2 linked regions of the Elephas maximus indicus genome follow. Each later gene encodes a partner of the first gene's protein in a complex. Links are inferred from orthologs where the notes say so. Each region holds a gene or a part of one and is shown on either strand. Other genes may lie near its edges.

What was found. The genes of interacting proteins can lie anywhere in the genome.
Region 2: CACNB1 (region 1) and CACNG1 share a complex: the UniProt entries of both Homo sapiens proteins name them as parts of the calcium channel complex. The link is inferred for Elephas maximus indicus from reciprocal best matches to the Homo sapiens genes CACNB1 and CACNG1.

Annotation. Positions count from the first base shown.
Region 1 is NC_064837.1:46,617,036-46,620,779, forward strand, and holds the start of CACNB1 (voltage-dependent L-type calcium channel subunit beta-1), read right to left. Parts: upstream 2,664-3,744; 5' UTR 2,484-2,663; coding exon 2,400-2,483; intron 14-2,399; coding exon 1-13. UniProt on the Homo sapiens protein: Regulatory subunit of L-type calcium channels. Regulates the activity of L-type calcium channels that contain CACNA1A as pore-forming subunit.
Region 2 is NC_064837.1:56,871,425-56,875,168, forward strand, and holds the start of CACNG1 (voltage-dependent calcium channel gamma-1 subunit), read right to left. Parts: upstream 2,329-3,744; coding exon 2,094-2,328; intron 1-2,093. UniProt on the Homo sapiens protein: Regulatory subunit of the voltage-gated calcium channel that gives rise to L-type calcium currents in skeletal muscle. Regulates channel inactivation kinetics.

The sequences.
Region 1 (3,744 bases):
TGCTGTATTTGCCCTAGAAAAGCAGGGAAGGGACAAAAGTGGAATCAGGGAGGACCTTTTCCAACCCTCTGTCCATAATCTGAACAGCTCCCCACTGCCCCTATCTTCTTCCTTAGGTGGTACAGTCCAAGGGGAGGGAGGGTCTCCCACTTTCCCAGAGAGGGCGCAGACCACAGCCAGGGAGTGGGGGACACTGCAAGAGAGGCTTAGGGGGTCACACACAGAAACTCCTGAAACAAGCCAGGAGGCTAAAAAAGGAGAGGTGCTGAGAAGCTGGCGGCTCATTAGGCAGCAAAGCTAATTAAGATGCAGGGCAGGCTGCAGAGGCCTCAGGGGAAGGAAAAGGCTGCCTGCAGTGCTGTCGGGGGGTGGTGGAGAAAGCCAGGGAAAGTCCCCTCCAGAGAAGGCTTGAATGTGCCAGTGGTCCCCAAAGAGGAGGAAGAGCCAATCCAGGGCCCGGCTGGGCTTCACCCCTGTGCCCAACTCTTTCCTTCGTTTTTCCGCAGAGTAGGGAGGGGAGCGGCAGCTCTGAGCACTTGGAGACCCAATGCAAGATTTCCGAGGAGAGGATTGGGAGGGTATTTGGAAAGGAAATCAACATCCAACCCTGGCCCAGCACCATGGGGGCAGATTCCTAGCTGGGCCCCGGCAGGGCCTCGTTCCACCCCCATCTCACAATCACAATAGCCACACCTCTCCCCAAGGGGGACAAGGGTGATCAAGGTTCCACCCTCCATCCCAGCTGCCACTGCCCACACCCTATCCCCATGGTATCCACCAGGCTATGTTAATCTAAATGCCCCTGAGTCCCATCCCAAGTTGAGCCTAGGACAAGTCTAGCCCCACAGGTCTCCCAGAACCAGGATGGCTCAATCACACAGACCAAGGCTCCTGCCTTCGGTGGAGTGGACACTGTGCCTCACCCCCCTCAGGCAGCCACAAATTCAAGTTAAAGGCTTCAGGAATTTCCAGGCCTCCTGGAAACGGGGCTTCTTTGCCCTTCCCAGTTCACAAATACACACTTGGCCCCAGGCCAGTCCAGAATGGAGGGGGGGTTGTGATTGAGAGTTCATTCCCTCCAAGCCCCTCCCCCTGGCCTCCATCCTAGTTTTATTTTGGCCAAATAACCTGGATGAACCATGACCAGATCAGGGGTTCTGGCTCTTAGGACCTGGGGACAGGAAGGAGGAGGGATAGATGGAAGAGAAGGGCACTTGGGGACCCTTCAAGGGTCCTCCTCTCTTCTCTTCTTTCAAACTAGACATATACCCAAACTTTAGGTTTGAGGATCCCTACAAACCCAAGAGGATCTTCCAGTGAACCCCAGACTCTCATTCACAATGCTACCACTCCAGGCTGGGAAAAGGGAGTGGCACCCAGAGGACAGAGGACAGCTGAAAGGAAGGCCCCAGTCAGCTGCCTCCCAGACTCCAAGGGGCCTAGGGTGGAGGAGAGAGGTATTTTTAGGTCTGACCTGACCCCCCTACATACGCATCAGCCACATTATCATGGTGGTTACAGTTGTTCCACAGCAAGAGAAGGGTTAACTCTATCCTAGTCTTGGGGTGTTGCTGGACTGGAGACAGAAAAGTCTCAGAGAAACCTCCTGGTAGGACCACCCCAGGCCCTGCTGGTCACTCAACGGGCATCCACCACACCCAGGAATGCCCCTTCCTGGGGGTAATCCAGGGCACGGGAAAAGTGCGTGAGTGGGGGCAGAGTGGCAGACCCCTCCCTCAGGTAATACAGCTTCTTCTCCTTCAGGATAGTGAGCTGGCTTGCATCCAACTTTCCAAACTTTGGAAAGCCAACATGGGCGTGGGGGGAGGGGAGTTGGTCCAAGCTACCGGGGGACAGAGGAGCCTGGGAGGGATTCTGGCCTGGAGCTGGCCCCTTCCCCCACCCTCGAGGGCCAGTGTCCGTGGCTTCAAAGCCCTGTTGGCACCGCCCTCTGACCATTGCCTTGGCCATCTCCCAGTGCTACCCCCGTCCCACCCACACTCGCCCAGCGCCCCAGAACGTGCTCTGCGTCGCCCTCCTTGTCTGAGCTCGCTGTCCAGCCTCCTTCAACCTCCCCTTCTCAAGGCCCGGATCTCCCCCGTCAACAGCCCCCGCTGTTATCTCACTGGAACCGGTACCCGAGCAGCAGGGACCCTGACGCGAAGGAGGCGAGGGTGACAGGCGGCCCGACTGCCCCCTCCCCGCTCCACAGCACCCGCAGCCCAACTCCGGGCCAACTGTCTATCAATCATTAACCCGCGGGGCTGGGGGACGCGCAGGCGCCCCTCTCCCCTCCACACCGAACATATAACCCCTTCCTCCCCGGCGCCCCTCGAGCTGACCCCATCAAGGTCCGCAGCAGTGGGCCCCTTCCCGCCGGCCTGGCCACCGCGTCTCACCTGTGGACTGGGGTCGAAGACCTCCATGGGGATCTCCTGGGAAGGTGGGTAAGGGCTCCGGGACATGCTGGCCTTCTGGACCATGGAGAGGAGCCTCTCCTCCGGCCGCCGGCCCGGCCCAGCCGGGCGCCTTCAGCGCATGGGAGAAGCCGTCGGAGTCGAGAGCAGCGCAGCGCAGCCAGCACCGGCTCCAGCCACCCAGCCTGGCCTTCGCCAGCCCCCTTCCTGCCTTCCTTCCCTCCTCCCTCTCTCCCTCAGCCGCCGCCGCCTCCTCCGCCCCTGAAGGCTCCGCATCTCCCCCCGCCCCCTGGGCTCCCACCCGCCCCTCCCTCGCTCCCTCCCTCCCTCCCTCCGCCCGGCCGGCCCCGCCCCTCGCAGCCCCTCCGCTGGCTCCGCGCAGACAATAGGAGGGCAGCGGGAAGCAGACACGCCCCTCCCGGCTCGGGCGGGGGCCGATCGCTGGCCTCGGACTGGTCTCGGACTCGGGCCGCCTGCTCTGGGGAGAAGGACAAAACCGCTGGGGGCGGGGGCGGGGGGGGGTAGGTGGAACGGTGTTACCAGTGCATGCCAAGTGCTGATGGGGGGAAATGCTCGGATTGGCATAGCTGGCACCGTCGTCCCTCCCAACCCCGGGTCCCAACCGCGCTTCTAGTGGGTCTCCCCAGCCCACTCCTGCTTGGGCCACCGGAACTTCCCGGTCCCCGTGATTCTGGGACCTGGCTTTAACTCCTTTCTTCCCAGCGTAGGGCTGAAGCCGCCTTGAACCGAACAGAAAGGTCCCTCACCAACTTGCCTCTGGGGGTGCCACCTGGGAACTAAGGCTGGAGTGGGGAGGGTGGCCAGAGGGAGATCTCTACGGAGACAGCATCAAGAAGCAGTCCCCCAGAGACCCCAAAGTCTTCTGCCCTAGTCAGTAGCTGGGATCCCCCAGGGCGTTCCAAAAGTCCAGGCGAGGAGGTGCCCATTTCTTGGAAGAGGGAGAAAAGTGGAGGAAGAAATGCTAAGCTGAGAGAAGAGGAGAGACTGGTTAATATCAGATATCATGATCTCTGACTTAAATGGCTCCCCTTTCATCTTTGATTTGAGAACAAATGTCCAAGGCCTGCACTCTGCCCACCATTACTGGTTCAGAGAAGAGAAATGACTGATTCTGGCAAGAGACCTTGGTGTCAATTTGACTCAGGTTTTTGGGTTGTGTGGCCCTGGAAAAATCACTATGCCTCTTTGAGCCTTAGTTTCCTCACCTATAAAGTGGGGTTGCTGGTACTTCACCTGGGGTTATTGGGAGGATGAAGGAGAATAAAATTAAATGATGGATTGCTGGGGTTTGGAGATAGATGCTGTT
Region 2 (3,744 bases), about 10 Mb from region 1:
GCTGCACTGGGGCAAGAAGGCGAAGAGGTGGACTCTGCTCAGACTCAAGGCCCAGCTGAGCCTGCCAGTCCCGCAAGGCTGGTCTTGTTGCCTCTTCCTAGGTCTCTCCCTTGTGTGAACCATGCTCACCTCCTGTTCATCTGCTTTGTGAACTCACCAGGCTTTAAAAGGCAGGCGCCTCTCAGGTCAGGGAGCAGAACTGGGGATGGGATGTCCCCACATGTGGTTGCTGGATAGGCTGACCCACCATGCCCTGCCTGGCCTGTCCCAGGGGAGCCAGCTGGATGACGCATCTGTCTGGCGTGCTTGGCAGTGGCCAAGGGGCGTGGGCTTCTGGCTATGTGATATCCTTCTAACACATGCCCACGCCTGTCAAGGCCCTCAGCCCTGGGACTCTGTTTTTCCAAGACAGCTGGGTATTTGAGTCTTCCAGGCATCCTGGGAGAGGGTGGGTGAGCACAGGGATTCCTGGAGGAAGCAGGAGGGGAAGAGAGGCCGGAGCAGAGAGGGAAGCATGAGGCTGGGGCGAGGCTGCAGGATTTCAGGGCATGCAGCATGGATGCTCCTGAAGGGCAGGTCTCAAGGGACAGCTGTCTGACAACAGAGGAAATAATTCTGCAACCAGGGGTGGGTGCCACACATACGACGGACCGCTGCCATCTTGGAGGGACATTTGTGGGGACTGGACAGGACCTTTGGGAGCTGAACCCAAGTCTGTACCTTGCAGAGGATGAATCAGAGGCTGAGAGGGGCTTTGTCCTCCCCTGTGGTCATCTAGGGGGCTCGTGGGCAGCGTGTGACCCGAGCCCAGGCCTCCCACGCTCCACACAGTGCTCCTTAGGTGTGTGGTCTACTGGCTGTGAATATAGTTGGTTCCACATGTGCAGAATCGAGACTGGTCCACCCAAGGCCAGGTGTTCTGGACAAGGAACTCACCTTCAGTGCTTGGTTCAGCCTGGTGTTGGGAAATCGAGGCATATGTGTAAAGGACAGTGGAAGCCAATGCATTCTATCCGGGAAGAGGTTTGAGCTGGCGGAGCTGTGCAGCAGGGCCGTGGTCTGAGGGGAAGGCAGACACTTAGCGACAGGCATGACTGGCTTCACAGGCCAGCCGCCCTAGACCCCACGCTTGGAAGGCCTCTACACTTGGTTTAATGCACTGCTGTTACTGTCTTGAAATTTAAAAAAAATTTAACAAAGAGCCCTGGTGTTTTCATTTTGCACTGTGCCTGGAAATTTTTGTATTGCCATCAGTTGATTCCCACCCATGGCTCCTCCATTTGTGTCAGAGTATAACTGTGCTCCATAGGGTTTTCAATGGCCAAGTTTTTGGAAGTAGATTGGCATCTCTGGGTGGGCTGAAACCTCCAACCTTCCAATTAGCAGCTGAGCGTGTTAGCCATTTGAACCACCCAAAGACTTCAAGACCAGTTGCTGTGGAATTGATTCCGACTCATGGTGGCCCCATGGGTGGAGTAGAACTGTGCTCCATAGGATTTTCTTGTGTGTGTGTGTGTGTGTGTGTGTGTGCTCCATAGAGTTTTCAATGGCTGATTTTTCAGAAGAAGATCGAGGTGTCTCTGGGTGGATTTGAACCTCCAACCTTTCAGTTAGCAGCCAGTGCATAACCCTTTGCACCACCCAAGGACTCCAGAACTTCTGTAGCTGGTCCTATGTATGCTCCTGCCAGGAGGCCTATGAATGAAGCTGCTGGCCCTTCAGCCTGGGAACGCAGAGCCACTGGCCTGCCCGTCATCACAGGAGAACTGCGGGCCGGGCAAGCCCAGAGGCTCGACCACTGCTAGGAGCAGAAGCCCCTAGACTGTTAGATCTGCAGTTTCTTTCTGGAGCCTCTTGTCCTACCTGTCCAGCCCTTGTCTCTGGGTGAAAAGCCCCAAGCCTCAGCAAGACAGAAATAGCTGGAGACAAGTGCCCTCATTTCACAACCGGCTCTGGCTGTCAGCACAACCACATGCAATTCAGAGTCTTGTCCCTGCGCTGTTCTGAGCCAGAGAAACCTGCCCTCATTTCCAGAGATGGGGGGACAGGGAAGGGTAGGAAGTGGGTGCAGGGACAGGGAATGGGTACGTTACCCCCGGACAGGGTGATGGTTCTGCAGCTCTTGTCCTTGCTGTCACCCAGGACGATGCGTTTGGTACAAATCCGCCAGAGGCCGAAGTGGGCCATCTCACAGGTACTGTTCTGGTGAGCCAAATGGGGGCTGAGCACGGCCCAGTGGTCGGTCACCACAGCCACCATGGCCAGCACAACACCTACCAGGATGAAGAAGAGGGTCACACGGACCTTCAGGGTTTTGGTCTGGGACATGGTGGGGTCCTTGGGCAGGACGCAGCAGCCACAGCTCTCAGGGCAGGTGGCAGCTGGGCAGGGGTGGCAGCGGGTATCGAGTTGGGGGTCGGAGCTAAGTTTAGTGTGCCCAGTCGAGCCAGAATGGGCCGGCCTTGGGACTGAGGGATGGGGTTGAGCAGCTGCCCAGACGTGTCAGGGGCCTGAGGGAGGCTGCTATTAATGCCCATCTCCCAGTGTGTCACCACGATGGTGTCTGCTCAGATTTCAGGGCGTTCTTCCCCTCGGGGAGCCAGAAATACCTGAGGGCGGGGCAGGGAGAGGAGGCTCTGGATGCTGACTTGAGACCTCTATGGGACGGCGCTCAGGGTGCCAGGGTCCGGCAGGGGTGTGGCAGGGCATGGGTATCTGCCTGCTCTGGATGAGGGCAGAGGACTCTGGGGGGCCTTCCTGAGTCTCTCATTGCAAGGGGTGGTGACCAAGGTATGGTGAGTAGGTCCTCATCCTGTGAGTCTGGGGGACTTAGGACCCTGTCTAGGGGACCCCCGGAATCCCCCACCCAGGGCCCAGGCAAGGGCCATACTCCTGAGACCACCACATTTCCCAGATCTCGGGATGATTTATGTGGTTCCCGGGCCTGGCATCACCAGCTCCTGAGTGAGGTTATTTCCTTCTCAGTTCTCTTTCCAAAGCTCATGTTAGGGTCAGGAAGTGCTTAATTCCTCCTTGACGCTTGCAAACCACCCTTCTAGGCAAAGGGCACATGGCCTGGGAGGCCTCAGACTGCAGAGCTGGCTGTGACTCAGGCCTGTTCTCACTGTTTTTAGTTTTATCTTCTATTAATGCCAGGTAAGAATGACTTTCCAGCTATGTTCCCTTTTACAAAATAATTGTATTTAAGAAAAAAGAACAGAAGTAGGTTGATTCACAGGTGACCAATAGGAGGCTGGAGTCTTTGGATGATGCAAATTGTTGATGCGCTGGGCTGCTAACTGAAAGCTTGGCAGTTTGTGTCCACCCAGAGGCACTTTGGAAGAAAGGCCTGGCAATCAGAAGAAAGGCCTGGGAATATCACCAGGCCTTTCTTCTGAGGTGCCTCTGGGTGGAGTGAATCTCCAGTCTTTCAGGTAGCAGCCGAGCACATTACCTGTTTACACCACCCAGGGACTTCAATGTTCCCAGCGGGAGCTAATTCGTCACAATTGGCTGACTCAGTGATTGACTTGTGGGTCGATGTCTCTGCTTTACCTCAGGGGTGACTGTCTCCAGCAGGTGGGCCCTCTCCTTGGGGAACACTAGGAAGCGTGGACATGGCACACAGCCTCTGAGCCCATTCACACCACTTGTGTGGTCCTAGCCTCAGGAAACCCCAGGCAGAGTCAGCCAGGCCAGGTGGTTCTTGGGCAGGGGTGCTGGGTGGCCTGAGGCAGACGAACT